2 linked regions of the Schizosaccharomyces pombe genome follow. Each later gene encodes a partner of the first gene's protein in a complex. Each region holds a gene or a part of one and is shown in the gene's direction. Other genes may lie near its edges. The genes, in order: cnd1 and cut3.

The links.
Region 2: cnd1 (region 1) and cut3 share a complex: the UniProt entries of both Schizosaccharomyces pombe proteins name them as parts of the condensin complex.

The regions. Positions count from the first base shown.
Region 1 is NC_003423.3:3,196,218-3,208,604, forward strand, and holds cnd1 (condensin complex non-SMC subunit Cnd1), read left to right. Parts: upstream 1-3,870; 5' UTR 3,871-3,920; coding exon 3,921-4,035; exon of another isoform or gene 4,036-4,105; coding exon 4,106-4,184; exon of another isoform or gene 4,185-4,209; intron 4,210-4,275; coding exon 4,276-7,558; 3' UTR 7,559-7,769; downstream 7,770-12,387. Other genes in the region: rpl2801 (60S ribosomal protein uL15), read left to right, coding at 274-720; Dbf4(Dfp1)-dependent protein kinase Hsk1, read right to left, coding at 1,114-1,562, 1,626-2,471, 2,530-2,758; phospholipid--diacylglycerol acyltransferase Plh1, read left to right, coding at 8,231-9,214, 9,260-9,329, 9,384-9,411, 9,456-9,483, 9,532-9,615, 9,655-9,894, 9,936-10,082, 10,128-10,334 and 2 more; kgd2 (dihydrolipoyllysine-residue succinyltransferase), read right to left, coding at 10,652-11,817, 11,878-11,949, 12,242-12,362. UniProt on the Schizosaccharomyces pombe protein: Regulatory subunit of the condensin complex, a complex required for conversion of interphase chromatin into mitotic-like condense chromosomes.
Region 2 is NC_003423.3:999,377-1,012,455, reverse strand, and holds cut3 (condensin complex SMC subunit Smc4), read left to right. Parts: upstream 1-5,932; 5' UTR 5,933-5,992; coding exon 5,993-9,967; 3' UTR 9,968-10,193; downstream 10,194-13,079. Other genes in the region: fan1 (fanconi-associated nuclease 1), read left to right, coding at 1-1,855; protein Cwf25, read left to right, coding at 2,465-2,499, 2,562-3,657; erv2 (sulfhydryl oxidase), read right to left, coding at 3,860-4,438; SPOM_SPBC146.02 (uncharacterized protein), read right to left, coding at 10,654-11,445; mediator complex subunit Med15, read right to left, coding at 12,376-13,079. UniProt on the Schizosaccharomyces pombe protein: Central component of the condensin complex, a complex required for conversion of interphase chromatin into mitotic-like condense chromosomes.

The DNA.
Region 1 (12,387 bases):
GTTTACATTCGAACAATATAGGAAAGTGCACTGATGCCCGTGAAAATTAGACACGCAACAAAACAAATTTAGGAATTTAAAAACCTAAAATATTTAAAAAATTACTATTCCATATTTAATTATTAGCTGTTTTATTGCAACTTTCAAATTCGGCTAAATTCGTAAAACGCTACACTTTCAACTATAAATGTGACTGCTTTTTTTTATTCTCTCAAAAAACTGTACACATCTTTTTGCTTCAGACTACCCACTCTATTAAGGCGAAGAAACGAGATGCCTACTCATACTTCTAAGACTCGTAAGCTTCGTGGACACGTCTCAGCTGGCCATGGTCGTATTGGTAAGCACAGGAAGCATCCCGGTGGTCGTGGTAAGGCCGGTGGTTTGCAACACCTCCGTAGTCACTTTGATAAGTATCACCCTGGTTACTTTGGTAAGGTTGGTATGCGTCGATTCCACCTCATGAAGAATCCTTTGTGGCGTCCTACTGTCAATTTGGATCGTCTTTGGACCTTGGTTCCCAACGAAACTCGTGAAAAGTATCTTGGTAAAAACACGGAGGTTGCCCCCGTTATTAATGTCTTACAATCTGGTTACGGTAAGGTTTTGGGTAAGGGTCGTCTGCCTGATACTCCCGTCATCATTCAAACACGTTATGTCTCTCGTCGTGCTGAAGAGAAGATCAAGCAAGCTGGTGGTGTCGTTGAGCTCATTGCCTAAGAACATCCTGTGATTGCTTAGTGGCTTAATAAAATTAATTTTGTTTGATTCGTTTATCCGTCTATACTTTGATGGAATATAATTGTTGTATGATCAATCTGTAGTGTTATTCTCTGGTCAAATAGTGTATAGAGATTTTATTTCAATTAAGTCAGTAAGTGAAAAAGCCTCACCTGCTGATATGTGTTCGTTATGCTATGGTAAAATTAATTATGGATTAATGTTTGTAACTGAAAATGCACCCCAAAAATTCCATAGGGTATTTTCGATGTATAGACATACAATAATGCTTTCACTTTAATACCCAATGATTACAGTAATGCTTATACTGTAAATGAAAATGTATGCACAAATATAAGTGATTGCTTGATGAGAAATTGCCAGCAAATCTTCTCAAGCTCCATCCTGCAAAGCATCATTTGGTAAAATTTCATCAATACTTCGCTTCCGCTTTGATAAAGAAGTAGGTTCATCTGTTTCTTCCTGCTCTTTAAAATCAAGGATATGGGATAAGTGCTTAGCAGTTAAGTCTTCGTCTTTCTCGAAAGAGGTTTCTCCAAAGCTATTATCAAAAGCTGTATCGTCATCTTTCTTTTCGTAAGCTAAATTATCGAGATACAAGAAATCGTGATCCAATGCTTCCTCAGCTGAAATCCTTTTGTTACAGTCAAGTTCAAGACATTTCTCTAAAAAATCCAGGCACAATCGCTCTTCTTGGCTTGGTTTATGACGAAGCTTTTCTTTGTATATACTGGCTGAACCACAACTGGCCCACAAAATAAGTTTCCTAAAGTTTACTCTTTTTTCTGTAAGCGTGCTTACATTTGTCTCAAACGTACAACCTGGCAGGTTAGCGAAAAAAATCAACACAAACACTTCCGTAAGGGACATTAGATCGTTCTTACCGTGTAAAGCAGCACATTGGCGCATTTCGCTTTTTCCAAATATACATGCTATCTCCATGAGTGCATCCACGTCGTCCTTTGAATTAAACATGGGGAAACGTTTAGTAAGGAAAGATAACAAAATAACCCCAGCAGACCAAATATCAACTTTGGGTGATTGAGATGAGCATTTAAACAATACTTCAGGTGCTCGAAATCCTCGAGTTCCGGCTCTATTGGCCCGTTTGCTTGGTCGAGTATCGTTTTTTATGTATCCAAGAGATGTTTCCTGCGCAATCGAAAAATCATGTGCTAATTCGGCCGCATTTGAATTAGTGCACCGGCAAGAATGTGATTGTTGTCTTCCATCATAACGCTCTGCTAATCCAAAGTCAACTAAGACACCATGCTTGGTACGAACATCGAAGAGAAAGTTACTAGGCTTAATGTCTCTATGAATGATTCCCAAAGTCTGAGTTTGCTGCATAGCTTGAAAAAGGCATCGAAAATAAATGCTCATATCGCGATAGGAAAAAGTGCTATAATATTGACGAAAGTCAGTATGCTCGTAGTAGGGTAAAACTACGAGTACCTGATCTTCATTTCTTAAAGCAGTTATTAGCGGGGCTATTACCGACGATCCCCTTAATAAATATAGGATTTCTAATTCATTGTATATTCTAGCAGGACTACTTGTCGCGTAAATTTTTTTTATAGCAACGTACTTCGGTTTCCGGCTGTCTTCATTAACAGGAATTTTTTCTTTTCCAAAAGAAGATTCCTTTAACACTTCACTTTGAATGTCCCAATCATTAATATACCTCCCATAATGTAGGTCTTCCGCTTTATATACACTGGAGAACGTACCTAAACGAATTAGCAAGATAGTTTCAAAACAGTACTAAAAACGGTAATTGAAGTTTACCTTCTCCAATTTTTTCAATTAGCCGATAGTTCTCTTGTAGCTCTACGAACGTCCTTGTGATATTTTCAATTTCTTCGCGGTCTCGTGCAGGGATATCTTGAATCATTTCTTGAGATTTGTTTTCGTTTACATTTTCATCGTCCACCTCAGTGATTTCACATTCAGAATCAATATCTGTTTGTTGTTCATGAGTTACTTTAGGTGATAGTGTGATATGGGCCTCTGCCATGTTAACGGTTTAACTCATATATTTTTAAACCAAATAATAACTTAAAAAAAATTAAAAGAGTCGTCAATTAAATGGTAAAATGCTGCCAAGGGAAGGAACCAAGAAAAAACAAATTTTCACGTATTTTAAACCTTCAAACCGAACACGCGAACGAATACTAAGATTCAAAAAAATCAAGTTTTTAAAATGTGTAACACAAACTCATTCCATGAATATAAGAATTTGCAGATTCCAGGTTCAACACCAGTTGTACATTGTTAAGCAAAATGCTCTTCTAATGAGGGACATTGTTACTTCCAAACAAGAAAAATACATTTTTAATCCAACTTTTGTTTAATAAAAAAAGTACTCTGCTATAATATTTGTATACTTATGGAAAAGATTAAGATTTCATGTCCTTTATCTTTTTTTAAATTTAGGACTTGCTTTAAAAAACATAAATCCTTTGGGCTCTTGTTATTGTTAATAACCACCATAAACAACTAGAATTGACTATTTATTGGACATTGAGAGTAAATATGATTAACCATGGTATTCAAACACGTTTTTTTTTTCTGTTATTTAAAAATAAATAAAAAAATTATCCTGAATTTGAAATTTATTCCTAGTTAAACTACGATAGGTTTTCTGTTTAGTTTATTGTGTATTACTTTAAAATTCTAAAAACAGCACAAATGCTTACCTCGTCAAAATTTGCATTCATAATAATTTTGAAAATCACCTTGAAAATGATACATGCGCCAAAATAAATTATAAGTTTTTATATCAGAAATACAGCTCAAGAAAGAATTTACAACTAACGTTATTCAAAAAATATATTAAATTCTTTTCAAAACATTTAATTAGAAGTACTAAAAAGAACAATAGCTTTTACGTGGCACGCTCAATAAAAGTTAATTAAAATATTATTTTTTAATGTAAACAAATGAGTTAATAAAAGCACGTTCTATATCCTTAAAGTGGTTAGCAACAATTAAGTCTAGCTCCTATTTTATATTTTGACTAACCGTAGCTCTTTTTTGTTAGTAAGAAAGTATAAATGGACCCCCACACAGGACATATAGGTGGGGTTATTGTTTACAAGGACTACTAGAATGTAGTACGCCAAATCCATCTTTTATTTCATTCGTAACATAGAAAGATTCGGCTTTCAGTGGCCTCAATGTCGTTGGATCTTCTTTCTAGATTAAAGAAATACATTCATGATGAAGAAAATTCCGACTTGGACTCGATTTATGCTGAATGTGAAAATGCTGGATTGACAGCCGTGGTTAACGGTATGGACATTTGGGTTTTTAAAAAAATTGAAAATGATCGATTCCACAATAACTAACAATGAAAAATTAGACGTCATTGATACCCTTTTATTAGGAACGAGTTCTTGTTTCGACGAGGATTGCTTGGAAAAACTCTTTGCTATATGTTCGTAAGTAGTTGTTATTTTGTGTTATTCAAATAGAAGGAAGCCATTTGGTTTACTATATATCAATTTTACCAAACTAACAATAATGGTTTAGACACTTTGCTGACCTCTCTTCCTCTGTAAGGAATAAAGTATATGATTTACTCACGAGTAATATCAGCTCTGAATCCGCTATTCTTGAAGATATGATTTCCGCAAATGCTACTGATTTTACTGTACCTCAAACGAATTTAGAAACTACAGGCATTGCATTTCAGCTCACGGTCAATTCCCTTTCTTCCTCAAATCAACTTTCAGTTATTCGGTCATCCACTAATACTGTTAAGGGAAGAAAAAAAAATCCAACTACTAACTCTAACTGGAATGGTATCTCACATGTAAATGCTTTGTTAGATGCAATCATAACATTATTTCAAAAAAAATTATCTCGTGTATGGACTACTTCTTCGGAAAGAGACATGTTTCTTTCACTTTTCCTAAAACCAATATACACGTTAATGGAAAGTGAAATTAACATAAAAAATGCTTCTTTCCGTTCTCGTTTATTTAATATTATCGGGCTTGCTGTTCAATTCCATAACCATACCACTGCAGCGGAGACAAATATTATTCAAAATTTACAATACTTTGAGCATTTATCTGAGTATGCTGCTGATCTTGTTCATATTGTTACCGTTCAGTTTAATTCCGTTACCTTGGCTGAAGGAATTATTCGAACATTGTGCTCTCTAGAATTTAATGATAACGATGTTAAAGGTCCCAAGCAAGTCGCTTTGTTTCTTGTCCGTCTTTCTTCACTTATTCCAAACTTATGTTTGAAACAGCTTACTCAATTAGTTAAGCTGCTTGATTCGGAATCATATACTCTGAGATGCGCTATCATAGAAGTACTTGCTAATGTGGTCATTGATCAAATTCATGATGAGGCTCAAAATGAAATGTCAGAGTCAGTGCCAGCAACTGTTCAAAGCTTAATGGATCTTCTCAGTGAGCGATTACTAGATATAAGCCCTTACTGTCGTACTAAAGTACTTCACGTCTTTATCAAAATATTTGATTTACCAATTAAGTATCCCAGAAAACGTCAAGAAATCGCGGAACTCGTGATCAGATGTTTGCAAGATCGGTCAAGTCATGTCCGCCGAAATGCAATTAAGTTATTTTCTAAACTTTTAACTACCCATCCTTTTTCAGTTATGCACAATGGCTTACTAACCAGAAATATTTGGGAGAAAGGATTATCTATCATCGAGGAACAGCTTAATTCTTTACAACCAAAGCAACAAGAAAAGGTGGTAGATTCAGAGCTTGAAGTCGATGAAAACTTATTAGAGGATGCTACTATGATCCAAGATGATGAGTCACATGAAGGAGAAAGTCACTTGGAAAATTCTCTAAGCGAATATGTCGATTCTGTTCCTGCTGAGGAAATAGTCAAAGTGAATTTAACGAAACGGTTTTATTTAGAAGCACTCCAATATATAGACATTGTGGAAGCGGGAGCAAAAATAATAAGCCAGTTGTTGTTTGCTAAAAATAAGAGCGAGGTAATTGAGTCAATGGATTTCTTTGTTTTTTGCAATTCTTTTGGAATTTCGTCTTCAAAATTATATATAAAAAAAATGATTCATTTAATTTGGGTAAAAGGAACCTCCGACGAAGGGAACAACATTCAGAACCATGTATTGTCATGTTATAAAACATTATTTTTTGAGCCACCTCCGAACTCTGGTACCAACGAAGCCGCAAACTATATTGCGAGAAATCTTATTTCATTAACATATGATGCTAGCCTTGCTGAGCTTACATCACTTGAACAGATGCTTTGCATTTTGATGAAAGATGGGTATTTTTCACATCTAGTCATAACAAAACTATGGCAAGTATACAGTTATCAAAAGAAGGATATATCTCGAACACAACGTAGAGGATCCATCATAGTAATTGGAATGCTAGCATTAGGCAATACCGATGTTGTCATGCAGGGCTTGGATCATCTTATTCAAATAGGACTTGGTCCCCCTGGTTTGGAGGATTTAGTTCTTGCAAGGTACACATGTATAGCGATTAAACGTATTGGCAAAGATGCGTCTGGTTCTTCTAATATTAATTTTCCAAATTCGCATACGCTTTGTCAAAAATTATGTATGCTTTTACTTCGACCATCGTTCTCTGAAGAGTGGTTTGGGTTAGAAGAGCAAGCTATTGAGGCTATATATGCAGTTGCCAAACATCCTGACGAACTTTGTACCAACATTATTTTGCTTTTGACGAAACAACTCTTCAAACCTTCCAATCATGAGAATACTACCAGTAACGATGATCATGCAATGGACGAAGATTTAGATGATTCTCCAGAAGAAGAAACATTAAAAGATGAGGAAGAAATAGGTATACGACTGGCGCACTTAATATTTTTAGTAGGCCATGTCGCGATTAAACAATTAGTCTATATCGAATATTGTGAGGCAGAGTTCAAACGGCGAAAAGCGGACGCCGAGAGATTGGCCGTACAGAACTCAAATAATCCTATAAATGGGCAAGAAACTTCTGAATATGATTTAATTACGGGAACAAGTGAAGATGATTTTTCAGAAGCAATGACATTTATTCGTGAAAGGGAGTTGCTCTATGGTGAGAATTCTTTACTTTCGAGATTTGCTCCATTGGTAGTAGAATTGTGCTCAAATCATAAATCGCACAATAATCAAAGCCTTTTACTAGCTGCTTCTCTGACTTTGTCCAAATTTATGTGTCTTTCTAACAATTTTTGTATGGAACATCTTCCATTGTTAATAACCATTCTGGAGAAATGTGATAATCCGATTATTCGAAACAACTTAGTAATCGGGTTAGCAGATTTAACTGTTTGTTTCAATCATTTTATTGATGAAATATCCGAATACTTATATAGAAGACTGATGGATGAAGAGTCTTCTGTCAAAAAGACATGCTTTATGACTCTAGCATTTTTGATTTTAGCTGGTCAAATAAAAGTAAAGGGCCAGCTGGGTATTATGGCTCGTTCTTTGGAAGACGAAGATGCTCGAATTTCTGATCTTGCTCGAATGTTTTTTACTGATTTTGCAGCCAAGGATAATTCTGTATATAATAACTTTATTGATATCTTCAGTGTATTATCTAGAAGTGCAGAGGAGCAGGATGAGGACGACGCTAAGTTTAAGCGTATCATTCGTTTCTTGACGTCCTTTATTGAAAAAGAAAGACATACCAAGCAATTAGCCGAACGTCTGGCTGCTCGTCTTGATCGGTGTAAAACTCAACGTCAATGGGATCATGTGGTGTATGCACTTTCTTTGCTTCCTCATAAAGCCGATAATATTCAAAAGCTCATTGACGATGGATATCATGAATAAAGTCAATTCTAATGCTTTATCTTACATATTCAAAATCCTTTGTATATTAGTATTGCCTAATTAAAAAGAAGAATGACGGTATACCTTTTTTATAACGAATTGAATGTTAATAACTATAACTTCATTGATCTACAACACCCATTATTTGCAACAATTAAACAATTCAAGCGCAAGTTAAGGTAATTTAGTTATTAGCTAAGTAATTTGCACATTCTAGCTGGGTCATTAATTATTTTTTGTGCTTATGAAGAAGATTTAACTTTACCCTAGAAAACTATTCACCTTCATTAACTGCTAAGTAAAACTGAGGAACTCTTCTCAATTTTAGGCTGTATCAAATATTGGTAAATTACATACTTGAACAGAGATCATTTTTTGGAACTGTCATCATCCTCTCAGGCTAGAAGTTTTGATAATAAATATAATCGGCATATACTGAGTATAAGTGCATTGTAACGTAACTCAGTTTAACTAGAAATAAGGTATTTCAAACTTTTAGACACTAAATCAAAATACAATTGTAGAAGGAAACCGATATTAAACGTGTTTCTAAAGCAACTTAACGCTCACTTCGTTATCACTCCTGCTGTAGAACTATGACAGTAAGGACTTCGCTTACTTATCGAATGTTTGGCAGTTGCTGCTCAAGCAATTCATATTTTAAAGTTAACTATGGCGTCTTCCAAGAAGAGCAAAACTCATAAGAAAAAGAAAGAAGTCAAATCTCCTATCGACTTACCAAATTCAAAGAAACCAACTCGCGCTTTGAGTGAGCAACCTTCAGCGTCCGAAACACAATCTGTTTCAAATAAATCAAGAAAATCTAAATTTGGAAAAAGATTGAATTTTATATTGGGCGCTATTTTGGGAATATGCGGTGCTTTTTTTTTCGCTGTTGGAGACGACAATGCTGTTTTCGACCCTGCTACGTTAGATAAATTTGGGAATATGCTAGGCTCTTCAGACTTGTTTGATGACATTAAAGGATATTTATCTTATAATGTGTTTAAGGATGCACCTTTTACTACGGACAAGCCTTCGCAGTCTCCTAGCGGAAATGAAGTTCAAGTTGGTCTTGATATGTACAATGAGGGATATCGAAGTGACCATCCTGTTATTATGGTTCCTGGTGTTATCAGCTCAGGATTAGAAAGTTGGTCGTTTAATAATTGCTCGATTCCTTACTTTAGGAAACGTCTTTGGGGTAGCTGGTCTATGCTGAAGGCAATGTTCCTTGACAAGCAATGCTGGCTTGAACATTTAATGCTTGATAAAAAAACCGGCTTGGATCCGAAGGGAATTAAGCTGCGAGCAGCTCAGGGGTTTGAAGCAGCTGATTTTTTTATCACGGGCTATTGGATTTGGAGTAAAGTAATTGAAAACCTTGCTGCAATTGGTTATGAGCCTAATAACATGTTAAGTGCTTCTTACGATTGGCGGTTATCATATGCAAATTTAGAGGAACGTGATAAATATTTTTCAAAGTTAAAAATGTTCATTGAGTACAGCAACATTGTACATAAGAAAAAGGTAGTGTTGATTTCTCACTCCATGGGTTCACAGGTTACGTACTATTTTTTTAAGTGGGTTGAAGCTGAGGGCTACGGAAATGGTGGACCGACTTGGGTTAATGATCATATTGAAGCATTTATAAATGTGAGTCTCGATGGTTGTTTGACTACGTTTCTAACTTTTGAATAGATATCGGGATCTTTGATTGGAGCACCCAAAACAGTGGCAGCGCTTTTATCGGGTGAAATGAAAGATACAGGTATTGTAATTACATTAAACATGTTAATATTTAATTTTTGCTAACCGTTTTAAGCTCAATTGAATCAGTTTTCGGTCTATGGGTAAGCAATAAATTGTTGAGATTTGTTACTAATTTACTGTTTAGTTTGGAAAAATTTTTTTCCCGTTCTGAGGTATATTCAAAAATACAAATGTGCTCTACTTTTTCTAACTTTTAATAGAGAGCCATGATGGTTCGCACTATGGGAGGAGTTAGTTCTATGCTTCCTAAAGGAGGCGATGTTGTATGGGGAAATGCCAGTTGGGTAAGAAATATGTGCTGTTAATTTTTTATTAATATTTAGGCTCCAGATGATCTTAATCAAACAAATTTTTCCAATGGTGCAATTATTCGATATAGAGAAGACATTGATAAGGACCACGATGAATTTGACATAGATGATGCATTACAATTTTTAAAAAATGTTACAGATGACGATTTTAAAGTCATGCTAGCGAAAAATTATTCCCACGGTCTTGCTTGGACTGAAAAAGAAGTGTTAAAAAATAACGAAATGCCGTCTAAATGGATAAATCCGCTAGAAGTAAGAACATTAAAGTTACTAAATTATACTAACCCAAATAGACTAGTCTTCCTTATGCTCCTGATATGAAAATTTATTGCGTTCACGGGGTCGGAAAACCAACTGAGAGAGGTTATTATTATACTAATAATCCTGAGGGGCAACCTGTCATTGATTCCTCGGTTAATGATGGAACAAAAGTTGAAAATGTGAGAGAATTTATGTTTCAAACATTCTATTAACTGTTTTATTAGGGTATTGTTATGGATGATGGTGATGGAACTTTACCAATATTAGCCCTTGGTTTGGTGTGCAATAAAGTTTGGCAAACAAAAAGGTTTAATCCTGCTAATACAAGTATCACAAATTATGAAATCAAGCATGAACCTGCTGCGTTTGATCTGAGAGGAGGACCTCGCTCGGCAGAACACGTCGATATACTTGGACATTCAGAGCTAAATGTATGTTCATTTTACCTTACAAATTTCTATTACTAACTCTTGAAATAAGGAAATTATTTTAAAAGTTTCATCAGGCCATGGTGACTCGGTACCAAACCGTTATATATCAGATATCCAGTACGGACATAAGTTTTGTAGATTGCAATTAACTAACTAACCGAACAGGGAAATAATAAATGAGATAAATCTCGATAAACCTAGAAATTAAAAATCATTTACTTTAAATAAATCGACAAACGAATATGATAAATAAATTGTCTTTAATAAAAAGCATCACTATCATTCAACCAATCATGCCTCTTTCAAAAGTTCCTGTTTTATACTAATAGCATTTTTGCAGGATCTTCAATATATTCCTTTACTAAACGCAAGAAAGTAACTGCTTCACGACCATCAACCATTCTATGGTCATAAGTAAGAGCCAAATACATCATCGGCCTTGGAACAACTTGGCCGTTGATAACAACAGGTCGTTCCTTAATGGCATGCAAACCCAATACAGCTGTTTGAGGAAGATTGATAATAGGGGTACCATAGAGGGAGCCAAAAATACCACCATTAGAGATGGTGAAAGTTCCACTAGCCATGTCCTCAATAGCTAATTTGCCAGCACGCGCTTTTGAACCCAAAGTTGCAATAGCACTTTCAATTTCCAAAAGGGACATGCTTTCAGCATTACGAATGACCGGTGTAACTAAACCTTTAGGGGTAGCAACAGCAATGCTGAGATCACAAAAGTCGCGATAAACAAGAGTATCACCCTTTCCTTCACCTTCTATGGAGCCATTGATTGCAGGAATTTGCTTCATAGCTTGGGTGCAAGCCTTAGAGAAAAAACTCATGAATCCAATTTTAACACCGGTTTCCTTCAAAATTTCATCCTTGTATTTCTTACGGAGGGCGACCACAGCAGACATGTCACATTCGTTGAAAGTAGTGAGAGAAGCCGCACGATTTTGGGACTCCTTAAGGCGCTCAGCTATACGAAGACGCATGCGATTCATTTTAACACGATCCTCATTACGGGAAAATGAGGAAGGACGAGCGGTCTCTGTAGCTTTAGGCTTACTTTGTTTAACTGGTTCGGATTTGGCAGGTTTAGGCTTAGGAGAAGAAAATTCAGGTTCTTTGGCATCAGGAGCAGGCTTAGTAGAGGAAGGTGCAGATTCCTTTTGTTCAGCACCGAGGTCAGGCATGGGTTTCTCTTCAATGGGTTTAGAAGAATCTTGAGGAGTTGAAAGGTCCTTAGCTGCATCGGCATCTGCAGTTTTGACTTCATCTTTCTTTGGACCGGCACTACCGCCTTCAGGAGGAGCGGCACTCGTATCAATGACCGCAATATCCTGATCAATGGTAATAGTGTCACCTTCTTTAACGAGTTGTTCCTTTAAAACACCGGCATCAGGAGCTGTAACGGGGGCATCAATTTTATCAGTTTCCACACTCGCGATTTCCTCATCCTTGTTGACATATTCTCCAGGTTCTATCAACAAAAGTCAGTATTTATAATAGCAAAAAATCTTTTTTTTATGAATCAACTTACGTTTTAACCATTGTGCGAGGGTACCTTCCGTAATAGATTCAGGAAACGGAGGCGTTTTAATGCGTGTACTGGCTAAAAATATAGTTAATGATTTTTGAAATTGAAACAACATAAGAAAAAGTAAATCCCGAAGATACTGAGTGAAAGGAAGAAAACATAGTTGAGAATTCCTATTCATGTGTGAATATGACCTTGTGAAGAATTATTTAATTATTTTGAAATCAACAGCGTCCACTTGATTCAAAATAAAGTTTAAGACAGATGCACTTAGCAAAAGTTGATTCTTATGAGCAAGTTGAGTACTAACATATATATCCCGTCTCCTTTAACAAACAATATCTACATCATGATCAACAACACATACCATAACGGGCCCAAAGGACGTTGGCCATGGATTTAGACACTGGAGCAGTGACTGAATATCCTGAACGTAGAGATAAAAGACATTTCGCCATCATGCGAAAGCCATTGCCGTAAGAAGTCATTATGATGGTTTTTCCGTAACAAGTA
Region 2 (13,079 bases), 2.2 Mb from region 1:
TATTGAAAACTTTAAAGCTTTAGACTCGGATGAACGGTACTTGTTTGTTCGTCTATTCATGCGTAAAAGAAATAAATGGTTCCGCGTGGGCCATTTGACTTATCCAGATTGCAAGGATGTTATTGCCTGCTGTAAGCAGCTTGTTCTGAAAAATTTTTTTGAAGATGAATCACTCATGTCAACTGAAGAAATAATTGAAATTCTATCTCTCGATGAATTGCGTTCGTTAGCTAGACAAACGAAGGTGTGTGGAAAAAGCAGGTCTGAAATTTCAAAAGAAATCATTTTCCTATCTAAAAGACAATCAGTACTACATTGTAATGGTCAACAATTTTTGTCCTTTGATGCTTTTGGTGTGATGCATAAGCAAGAGTCGTTTCTTCGGAAGCAACTATTATATCAATGCAAATCCTGTGTGAAACCAAAGAAAATTTTAGTAGACCTATTTCATCGAATTAATATTGTGTACTTTCGTTCGTCCATTTATGATGAACAATCGCTTACGTCTTTAATATTAGCACGCCTTAACAAATTTTCCTACCCGAATTACGTTTTATCGCGAACTTCAAACGTCTTTAATTGTCGTGCTCAATGCCTTGAATACGTTGAGGTTTTAGAACTTTCAAAAAACTTGGTTCCAATCTTTGAAAACACTGCCGCTTCGGATAAGGAAGCACTCGAACAAGCGTTGAACAGTTTTTTTGAAATATATCCTATATGGTCGACATATCTAAATGAAGACATTAGGGAATTTTGGGTGGAAGAAAATAGAAAAGTAGATACTCGATTGGTAAGGTTTTCTTTTAGCTTTCGTCCTGGTGCTGTTTACACATACTTAATACATAAAAGTCTAAATATTCTCGCGAAGTCGCGATTAGTTGAGGTTGAACATGAAATATTAGATACCCTTTTATCTCAAAATATATATTTGGTGGGTAAAAGAGGACATTGGTATAATAGAAAAGCCTTACTGGAATACAACTTTAAAACTGAGGATACTAACGTTTTGCGTTATTGGAAAACGCTTGCTTTATCAACTTGTGAAAATGGTATTGAAGACAAGTATACCCACCTCAGATATTACTTTAGCTTACAAAGGAGACTTGTTCGCTTACGGAAGTGTTTAAAAGTCTCTAATACTACCGAATTAAAAAGCATGAAACTTATAAATAATAATCCTTCAAGACTTTTTCTTCATGGTGAACGAATACATAACGGTGACCTTTCAAACCGGACTGTTTGGCGTAGCAAGACTAATAATGCTATCACAGTTGAAGAGCTTGCTCTTCAACATTATCAATCGATTGGGTGGGAAGGTATACATGCTGAAAGCAGCATTTTGCTAACTTTGTTTGCTTTGACATTCTGGGATATTTTGTTTGAGGACGTTCCTGGTGTTTTTCAATCTCCGTTTCAAAGTGCACCTTTGGATTTGCACACTGATTCCTTTTATATATCTAGAGAATCGACAATCATGAAAAGACTTGAGGAAATAAGAAATGGGAAAGCTGGCCTAATTATAAAAGATAATTATATCAGAGAGCACCAAAGAAAAACATTTTGTGTAGGTCTTAATTGGTCGTATACTTGCGAAATGCTTCTTGAAATTGTCGATTGTATCAACGATAATGGACTCGCCCAAATATTTCTTGCTTTGACCCAAGATTATAAAAATAGTTCTAGCGGGATACCTGATTTATGTTTGTGGAATCCGTCTAAAAAAAAATTTATGTTTTCAGAAGTTAAAAGCGATAATGATAGGCTCTCAGAAGCGCAAAAATTCTGGATATCATTACTAATATCCAGTGAAGTTGATGTTGAAGTTTGTCATGTCTCCATGCACAAAAAAAAATAAAAAACGTGATTGTTAATCTTTTCATTAAATGCATAGCTTATGTAAATTACACTTTGCTTGCTGAATTACCATCGTTTTGCCAAGGAGAATAACTTAGTCATTTCTCATTTTAGAAATGTTGATTGATTTTGAATGGATTAAGTATATAATATGCAACTTATTGGACTGAATTCACATATTCTATTCCAGTATATAATTAAGTTTCAACCCATGTTTTCATGCTGTATACCAATTTGTTTAAAATCACATTCATAATCAAGTAGGATTTTTAATGATACATTGCTTTTTAATCAGTTTAAAGTGAAATAGAACTTACGTTTATCAATGACTTAGTTATAGCTAAAATACTAAGAAATCTGAACGTGATTATTATTGATTGGTCTCAGAATTCGCAAGCTTGACTTTCTATTCTTGGGTAACATGTTACCCAAGTAATTTAGTGTATATGTTTGCAAAACACTATGAGTCACAGGTAAAGCGAGACTCAATTTTTTGTATTAATAGCCACTTTTTGAGAATTGTGGTTTTTAATCCTAAAAATAAAACAATTAGTGGATTTTCCTCTCAATTTTATTTTGAAATTTAAACAACTCTTATTAGTAATTCAAAATGGGTGGTGGAGATCTAAATATGAAGAAAAGCTGGTAAGTGGATTTATTTGCATTAATATAATTGTTTAAAGATGTTTTACTAATATTATGATTAGGCATCCTCTGCTAATGAGGAACCAGGAAAAAGTTTGGAAAGATGAGCAAGCTCACAAAGAAGAGATGAAGCGAGTCGAGCAACTTAGGCGAGAAATTGAAGAAGAACGTCAACTATTGGAATTACATCGGCTACAAGAAGCTGCTGGTGGAAAAAAAAGAAAAGACAGAGTTGAGTGGATGTATGCAGTTCCTAACACGAATGGACCCAATCGTGACTCTTCAGAAATGGAAGAATATTTGCTTGGAAGGCGACGTCTAGATGATCTTTTAAAGGACAAGATAGAGGATCAAAATAATTCATTAGAAAAAACAGAGTTTATCGCTCTTCAAAACGCGAACTCCCTACAAGACACACAGGCAAAGTTGCGACTAGATCCTTTACTTGCAATCAAGCAACAAGAACAAAAACAACTACAAACGCTTATGGAAAAAAGGAAATACTCTTTAGACTCTGATAGAAAGTCGAAAGAACGGCGGCACCGCGATCGTCATCATCGAAGCAATCAAGACAGAAGCAGGGAAAGGTCAGATAATGAACAACATTCTTCTGACAAAAGGGAGCATTCAAGAAGAAGCTACCGTAATGACCGAAATAATTGGAGAGAACGCACACACAATGATCGCTATCGGCATCGAGATAAATATGACTCTGGTTATTTCAAGAAACATTACGATGATGATATGCGCTTTGATCAGGGTCATTTTCAAGATGAAAGAGACCTAAAAAAATATGTGCGAACAAGCAGACAATATTCTCGTTCACCATCTCCGGATTTCAGGACTCGAAATCACCAATTTCATTCTCGAGACTCGCAACCTATCACTCAAAGGCATACCGATATAGAAAGCCGTTTACAGAAAATGCAAGACAATGCTAAGGAATTAGATGAGTCACGAAGAAAAAAAATTGAACTATTGGAAAAGAAAGAAAGAGATGAAGAACAGTTTTTGGAAAAAGAGAGACGCGATACCGCAAGAAAATGGGATAACCAAGGAGATTTTATCAGAAATATGAGAAAAGAGATCTACTCTGGTGATTCTGTAAGCTTGGCAGATCGTGTGAATAGTAGCCGACATAACATGTTAAGGCCGTAACGTGATTTCTATGTTTTTTCTAATATAACTTTGATGCATAACGATATAACATTTCTGAATAATGAGTGGAAATGACGGTGGTAAACAGTTGAACATATCAGTTTAGGGTTCATTAAATAAATAGCTTAACATCCAAATGCATTGCATGATAGACGGTAATATTTTTTAATAATACATGAATTCTTAAAATTAACCATTGTTATCAACCAGAATAGTCGTGATCTTCGTTAATTACTTGTACCCGTTCAGGAACATTTTCAGCTTCGCTTTCGCGATAGGTCGGCGATCCGATTACATATCTCTCATTAAATCCATCGCATGATGTCTTTGGTTGATTCATTTTCTCATTTAATTGATTGTGTACTTTGCAAGCCCACGTAGTTGCTGCTTTTCGAGAACTTGTTTGTGGAGGATGTACATCTAGTATCTTTTGGAGTTCCACAGAGTATTCACCACATGGCATTGTAATAGCGGAAGAAAATAGATAATGTCTTAAGATATCTCGCTCATCTAATGTTGGTCTGTTTGGATAATTGGAAACAACCGTATGAATTAACTTCCAGTATGCATTTACCATTAAATTATTCGTGTTATTATCGTGCTTCGTGGACATCATCTCAATTGGTTTTCTACCTTGACCTTCTCGATCCGGAAGCGATTTAATTTCAGGCATAAACAGACGCCAATCTTTGTCTACCATAACACTGTGAAAGATCCATATAATAAACGATAAGATTAGTAGGGTAGGGAGAATCACCTGAATTCTTCTATTAAGGATCATGTTTTATAGTATTTAGCTACTTCGTTTTCCCCGTAAGAACACCTTCATCTACCAAATTAATTGTAAAGGAGAACTGCAAGGACAGAAACTCACGCGGCTTTTTTGATCTGATATGCGGCATCGCTATGTTGCAATAACGAGAAGGAATTGATGGTAAACAAAACTAACCTCCTGGGTTATACAGAGCGAGTGCATCGTTATATCTAATGCTAATTAACAGAAAAACTTTTAAAGTAGTAAGATGGAACAGGCTGCTGGATGATCCAATGCATTACCAAATTGATTTAGATAAATGTATTGCCAACCCTTTAATTTTTTTTTTAGATATTAAATATCTTTTATATCAATTCTATATGCTTTTTATTTTAAGACTCAGAAGAGTTTTAATTATAAGTATAGTTAATAGTTAATAAATATGTAGTTTAGTGATAGAGATATAACCAAATAACAACAAAAAAATTAACTAAAGTATCATTATTATAAAGTCCATTGCTAGGTTTTATCACTATAAAATTTTTTTTAAGTTTGGAATTATTTACTAAAAAAAAGAAACTTAACGTAAATAAATAAAAACTAAGAGGACTTGTTAGTTTTTGTTTAAAAAATAAATAAATAAATAAAGAAGGAAGAGTTTAGCTAAGTTATCAAGTGAGCATAGATAGCATATAATAATCTATGTTTACAGATTTAAATGTTTTAAAGATAAATTACTTGCAATTGCTTGAAGATATGAATTTGCGTTTGATTAGTTTAAATCAAAATGTAAGAATTTTGGGTTAAATTAACATATGGCAAAAGGCTTGTCAAGTTTAAAGCTAAAAAAATACAAAACAATAGTGAATTTGAAAAGTTGTTCTAAAAAACTTGGACAAATCGTTTCCTTGCATTAACATTTCATTTAAAGAGCTAATCTATTTATATTACTTACTGATTATTCTTTATTCGTGGTTATTTCACACATAGGGCTACCCAAACAAGGTAAATTTTTGCGTCGTCTTGCTAGATTTAATGAAGGAATACAGAACAAAAAATCTTTGAGCTTTATATTTATTGTGTGAATTGAAAGAGGATGTTTGCTTGTGCTAGTAAAAACTTAGAAACAGCAATGTATTCTGCTCGTCCTTTTAATATTTTGCTAGTGTAAAGTGTCAGAGCAATATTCTCTTTTACTTAATTTTCGTTTTGAGTTAACTTTCAACGTCCAAGAATACCAAATTGACTAGCATAATAATTTAATGTATAATAGACACATGAGTTTATAATTACAGGTAAAAAGATGTTTGAAGTCTTCCTTTAAATCAGGTGTGTAGGTATAAAATAAATAGATCATTTTCATCTAACATGACCTGTTTACACAATTATACTTCAGTCTTTAGTTTATAAACATGGGCTTTAGTGTAATTTAACTGTGGGTTTTTGTATATTTTATTCATTAATTGACTTCATCGTTGGGTGAAATGCTGTTCAACCGTTGTAAACAACACACCTCTTTTCACGACCACCCACTCTTTTAGAATTTTAAGTAATATATAATTTGTTGAAGATACTATCTTTATGTCTGACAAGGGCATCTTTCGAACGTCTTCAACACCCTCGATTGTGGATGTTACGCCAGATCGTGGTGAAAGGCCACGAAAGTTGGTTCGCTCAGTGCTAGAATCTCCTTCTCAGAAAGATGTCGCATCAATTGTCAAGATAGAGCAAACACCATCTCGCCCATTTTTCAATGACTTTTTAAAAAAAAGAATTACCGATTCTTTAAACGAACGCCCTAATTTGCTCAACAAATTTATGTCTGCTCAAGATGGCACTCCATCTAAATCAACAGGTTTCAATGAACGGAGTTCACAACTTGTGTCAGAATTTACTACTACAGAGGATATTGAGAATTGTGAAGAAACCACTCAGGTTCTTCCTCCTAGACTGGTTGTTTACGAGCTACGCCTAACAAATTTTAAATCATATGCAGGAACTCAGATAGTGGGTCCGTTTCATCCTTCTTTTTCTTCAATTGTTGGACCAAATGGCTCTGGGAAATCTAATGTTATCGATGCTTTACTTTTTGTTTTCGGTTTTCGTGCTAGTAAACTTAGGCAATCCAAAGCGTCTGCCTTAATTCATAAATCTGCAACTCATCCTTCTCTCGATAGTTGTGATGTCGAAATTACTTTTAAAGAGGTAAACTCTGACTTTACTTATGTTGATGGAAGCGAACTAACAGTTCGTCGTACTGCTTATAAAAATAATACTAGTAAATACTTTGTAAATGGGGTTGAGAGTTCCTTTTCTGCAGTTTCTAATCTTTTAAAGGAGAAAGGAATAGACTTGAATCATAAGAGATTTTTAATTCTTCAAGGAGAAGTCGAATCAATAGCGCAAATGAAGCCCCGGGCTATATCAGAAGGTGATGATGGTCTTCTTGAATATCTTGAAGATATCATCGGAACCTCGAAATATAAGCCAATTATAGAAGAGAATATGCAAGAACTTTCGAATTCTGATGATATCTGTGCTGAGAAAGAATCTCGTTTAAAACTGGTGCTCTCTGAAAAGGCGAAATTAGAAGATAGCAAAAATTCGGTTCTTTCTTTTCTCAAAGACGAAAATGAGTTGTTTATGAAACAGAATCAGCTTTACCGTACTATTCTATACGAAACACGCAATAAAAAGACGTTAGTTCAAAACTTGCTTAATAGTTTGGAAGGAAAATTACAAGCACATTTAGAGAAATTTGAACAAACCGAGCGAGATATTTCGGAAAAAAATGAAGAGGTTAAATCATTGCGTGAAAAGGCAGCAAAAGTAAAAAACGATTGTACTTCAGAGAAGAAAACTCGCCAGTCTTATGAACAACAGACTGTGAAGATTGAAGAGCAGTTAAAATTTTTACTTAATAAAGAAAAAAAGTTAAAGAAATCCATTGAGGCTCTTTCATTCGAAAAATCAGAAGCAGAAAATTCTTTAAGCTCTCATGATATTGATTCCCAAAAGTTGAATTCTGAAATTGCCGATCTCAGTTTAAGACTTCAACAGGAAGAATTGAGTTTGGATGACATTAGGAAAAGTCTACAGGGAAAAACGGAAGGTATTTCAAATGCTATTGAAGAAAAGCAAAAGGCTATGGCTCCCGCCCTCGAGAAAATAAACCAATTGACATCAGAAAAACAAATTTTACAGGTTGAGTTGGATATGTTATTAAATAAAGAAAATGATCTAATTAACGATGTTGAGTCCTCTCAATCTTCGCTTGATAAACTGCGTAATGATGCAGAAGAAAATCGGAATATCCTGTCTTCTAAGCTTAAAGTGCTTTCCGACCTAAAAGGAGAGAAGAAAGATGTTAGTAAGAACATTGAAAGAAAGAAGGAAACTGTTCACAATACTTACCGAAATCTTATGTCAAACAGAACAAAGTTGGAGGAGATGAAAGCTTCTTTAAGTTCTTCTAGATCTCGTGGAAATGTGTTAGAAAGTCTTCAAAGACTTCATGAATCTGATAATTTAAATGGTTTCTTTGGACGTCTTGGTGATTTGGCTACAATTGACGAGGCTTATGATGTGGCCATTTCAACTGCCTGTCCTGCTTTAAATCATATTGTAGTTGACAATATTGAAACTGGACAGAAATGTGTGGCTTTTCTGCGCTCCAATAACCTAGGCCGTGCTAGTTTTATTATTCTCAAAGAACTGGCGCAGAAAAATTTAGCTCGTATCCAAACACCTGAGAATGTTCCCCGGCTCTTCGACTTACTTCGGTTTAATGATCAGAAATTCGCTCCTGCGTTTTATAACGTTTTGCAGAATACCTTAGTTGCTAAAAATTTGGAACAGGCTAATAGAATTGCGTATGGCAAAACACGTTGGAGAGTTGTTACACTAAGTGGTCAGTTAATTGATAAATCGGGCACAATGACTGGAGGTGGTACTCGAGTAAAGAAAGGCGGAATGTCCTCAGCTATAACGAGTGATGTATCGCCGGCTTCAGTTGAGACTTGTGATAAACAAGTGCAACTAGAAGACACTCGATATCGCCAACACCTAAGTGAGCTGGAGAGCCTTAATCAGCGATTTACTGAAATTTCGGAACGTATTCCATCGGCGGAACTAGAGATTTCAAAGCTGCAGCTTGACGTTTCTGCTTGTGATAGATTGGTAGCTGGAGAAGAGAGGCGAATCTTGCAGCTTAAATCCGATTTAAAAAGTATTAGAAACAACAATGAACGTAAACGGAATCTCCAAAACAAAATATCAAATATGGACAAGGAAGTTGAGGCCATAAATATTAACAATGAAGGCCTTGTCACTGAAATTAAGACGTTACAAGATAAGATCATGGAAATAGGTGGGATTCGATATCGTATACAAAAATCAAAGGTCGACGATTTGCATGAGCAACTCAAATTTGTTAAAGACAAGCTTAACAAAATGAGTTTCAAGAAGAAGAAGAATGAGCAACGCAGTCAATCTTTCCAAGTTGAACTATCAAACCTTACTAGCGAGTACGATACAACTACTGAAAGTATAGCCACTTTAAAGACTGAACTACAATCGTTAAACAAGTATGTGGATGAACACAAATCTCGGCTCCGCGAATTTGAAAATGCTCTATGGGACATCAATTCCTCTATCGACGAACTAGTAAAATTTATTGAATTTGAATCTAAGCAAATGAATTCCGTTAAAGCAGAAAGGATTGAATTGGAAAATCAAATTCAAGAGCAGCGTACGGCATTATCAGAGGTCGGCAATAATGAAAATAAATATTTAAAGCTCATGTCAAATCTGAAGTTACACAATTTGACTGAATTTTGTGACCAGACAACAATGGACTCAACTTTTCCCGAATATTCTGAAGATGAACTGAGTTCAGTTGATAAAAGCGAGCTGGTCTCTAATATTTCAGTCTTGAAAAAGAAAACTGAAGACAGAGAAGTAGATATCAATGTTTTGTCTGAATATCGTAGATGTAACAAGGAAGCAGAAAAGCGTGATTCTGATTACCAAAGTGAATTGCAAAAAAGAACCGATTTGAAAAAAGTCGTTACAGATCTTCAATCTCAGAGGCTCGATGAGTTTATGTACGGATTTGGAATTATATCTATGAAGCTTAAAGAAATGTATCAAATTATTACTATGGGCGGAAACGCAGAGCTTGAGTTAGTGGATAGTTTGGATCCGTTTTCTGAGGGGGTATTGTTTAGTGTGATGCCTCCCAAAAAATCTTGGAAGAACATATCTAACCTTTCGGGAGGAGAGAAGACGTTAAGTTCTCTAGCCCTTGTCTTTGCTCTACATAATTACAAACCGACTCCTTTATACGTTATGGACGAAATCGATGCTGCATTAGACTTTAAAAACGTTTCGATTGTTGCGAATTACATTAAGGAAAGAACTAAAAACGCGCAGTTTATTGTTATTTCTTTAAGAAGTAATATGTTTGAGTTATCTTCTCGTTTGGTTGGCATTTATAAAACGGCGAATATGACTAAGAGTGTCACAATCAACAACAAGGAAATACTTACAGATTAACTGCACATTCAAATAAAAACGTAGAAAATTGGAAACTAGATATTTAATAATTTACGAATTTTTGGCTACTGAATGTCAGTGTTTCATAATTCACAGTGTGCATACTAATAAATCTATGTTATGAGAAGATTAAACTAATTTAGTTTTGTGGCACCCAGTTTATGTTAATGTTTCAGAAATCTGTTTATGAACGTAATAGGACTACAAATATATAAAATTAATCTTCACTCGCTTTTAAAGCCTGTAAAATCTGCGCAAAGGAATTGTATATAATTAAATATGTTGTTTACATCATCAATTTCAGAAGGTATCTACAATTTGTAGTTACATAGTATAATATTTTAGTGGGTAATGCTTTTAAAGATTTATTGCAATCGTATGCATACCATATAGAACGTATCCAATTTTAAGTAATTTAATTTTATGGTAGTAAATTAAGAATAATTAGAAACAAACAATAAATTAGATTAAACAATATGAGTCGTAAACTTAAATAGGAAATCTCAATGCACACGACGAGATAAATGAAAGACCAATTAACAAGAAAAATGCAAATGATAAAAGCTTTCCAGCTAATAAGAGATAGGAGGACTAAGGAAGAAAGTAATGAAGGAAATAAATGAATGTTAATTACCACATGGCTAGCACCATGTAGCCTAACATGGAGCATCTGAGTAACACTTATTTTATAGCCAGTCGCACTGATGGTGTTCCCACCCATTAAACTCAGTCAAACCCAGGTGCTGAATTTTCCTCTTCGATTTCGATCGGTTTCTTTTAAAGGACAAGCTTGATTCGCCTTTCACAGCAGATTTAAGACGAGAATACGCATCAGAAACTCGGGAAGTAACATTTCTTTTAGAAGGTGTTCTGTCTATTAGTCCCTTGCGAGAGGAAACTTCTTCAATATCGAAAAACTCTATATCATTTGCAGAATTTTTTAAAGTGCTTTTACTACTCCTTCTATTGGCTCGTTTTTGAGCAACAAGCTTCTGAATTGCGGCGCATTCTAATCTGTATTGCGAATTGCTAAGTTCCTCACCAAGTGCACCTCTTGCAAGCCGTGCAGGGGAGGATGGTGAGGCATAACGACTATGGTTTGAAGAAAGACCAAAACCCTGCTTTCCAACGCTGTTTAGCTGTTTCGAAACCGAATATTTATGAAATCTTAACTTTAATGGAGAGATTGGTGAAAGTAAAGGACTTGAATCACCAATGGAGTTCGATGCCGCTTCCAACAGCCATGGCGAATGCTGCGAAATGTTTTTGTCCCAAGGTGATACTGGCGACTTTAACTCTTTATATATGGCATTGATCAGTTCGTCAGATATATGATGTGATAGCTTCAGTGAATTAGAGGTGCTATCTCCAGAACTTGACCTTGTTCTATCGCTTTGATCATCACTGCCATCAATGAAACAGCTGGTTTTTATATTATGGAGTTGCAAGGTTGCTGGTTTTTTCCTTATACCATTCATTGTAAGTTTAAAAGCAATTAATCTGCTTGATAAAAAAATTAATTGACTATTTTGTACTTAATAATGAAGCTAGGAGATCTCTGTATTCAATTATTGTTAAATCCTACGATTCTTATTTCAATGAATCAAGAAATAATATATCGTTAGTAAGATAACTTTTATTTACAGTAGGCCACGAGTTAGCGTGTTATATACAAGACTGAGATCACAAGGTTTCTTTGTTCATGGAAGACAAAGAAAGCTTTTATTGACTTCAATAATACGTAAATTTTAATTAATTATTAAGCTCAATAAATTATCGGGAGTTTTGAAATATTAATTTGTTTTCTCATGTTAGATGGTAATTCGAGATAGCTATTTGGCGGTTAGGTTAAACCAAAGCTCTTGAACCAAAGCAAAAACATAAACTGATAGCTACTTTTAGAATATTTGAGATAGTAAACATTAAAAACTATACAAATATTCATTTAAGAGATTACAAATTAATTTTCAACACCAACCGGTGCACTAATAATAAATTAACTAAAATCAACTTAAACGTATGAATAAATAAAATTTGTAACGGTCCTCATTATACCGACATTTTCATGTTCACAATGAGTCTCATAGACAGGTCATTAATCGGGAAAAAGCCATACTTTCTGGCATTGTGCCTAATAAAGGTACAACCGGATCTTCAAAATATTAAATTCAGGTTCTATTTTTATCATTGTATATAAACACAAGGACTATACAAACCTTTTCCCAATCACAATTTTCAACATAACAGATGCTTTCAAAAAATGGAGAAACGTTGAATAAACAGAGAAACAATATATGTCTATGGTATTCATAAGATATTGTAGAAGGACAAATATGTCCAATTTGCTTTTTGAGACGACGTGCAATAAATAAATAAAAAACAATTGCGAACCATCGTATCACAAAATTTTAAATCACAACTTGCCATATGTTTGTAGATGTTGGAAATGCGATGTTGTCTTCATCTTCGTTACCCACTTGAAGCTGCTTTAGCAAAACTTTCTTTTCATGAAGCATTTCATTCCATGGATCTTTATCGTCGATCGCTGGATCTAGAAAACATGATTCATCAAAATTAATTTGAGTAAGCTTATTTTGCATTTTAGTCTTATCTTTATCTGCATCCAAAGCAAGATTCATGGTATCTGGTTCCTTTAAAAATCCGATTTCAGAGTTGATTTCATTACCTAAATCAGCCCAAAGCTCCGAATCATCATTAAATGAAAATTTTCCGTCCAATGACAAAATATTAGATGGACTAAGTGAGTTTTTGTTATCTGTAAATGATAAATCTGGAGTTGACGGAGGAATGAAAAACGACTGAGGTGTTTTCAAAATAGAACTAGGAGTCTGTGATGATTTGATAGCAGAAACTTCTTCTTCATGGTCTACAGCCACAAATGCATCGATTGCGTACTTCAAAGGATTAGCAATTGCTTCTTCCCGAGCTTTAGCCATTCCTTCCTCTTTGGCTATAGTACCTGGAGAAACACTAGAAGGTATTTCATCTACACTTGACATTATAACATCAGGAGTATTTACGACTGAATCCTTAGGTTTTTGAACTGTCGATAAGTTTTCTATCTTTTTCTTCTTAGAAGGCGGTAACTTGA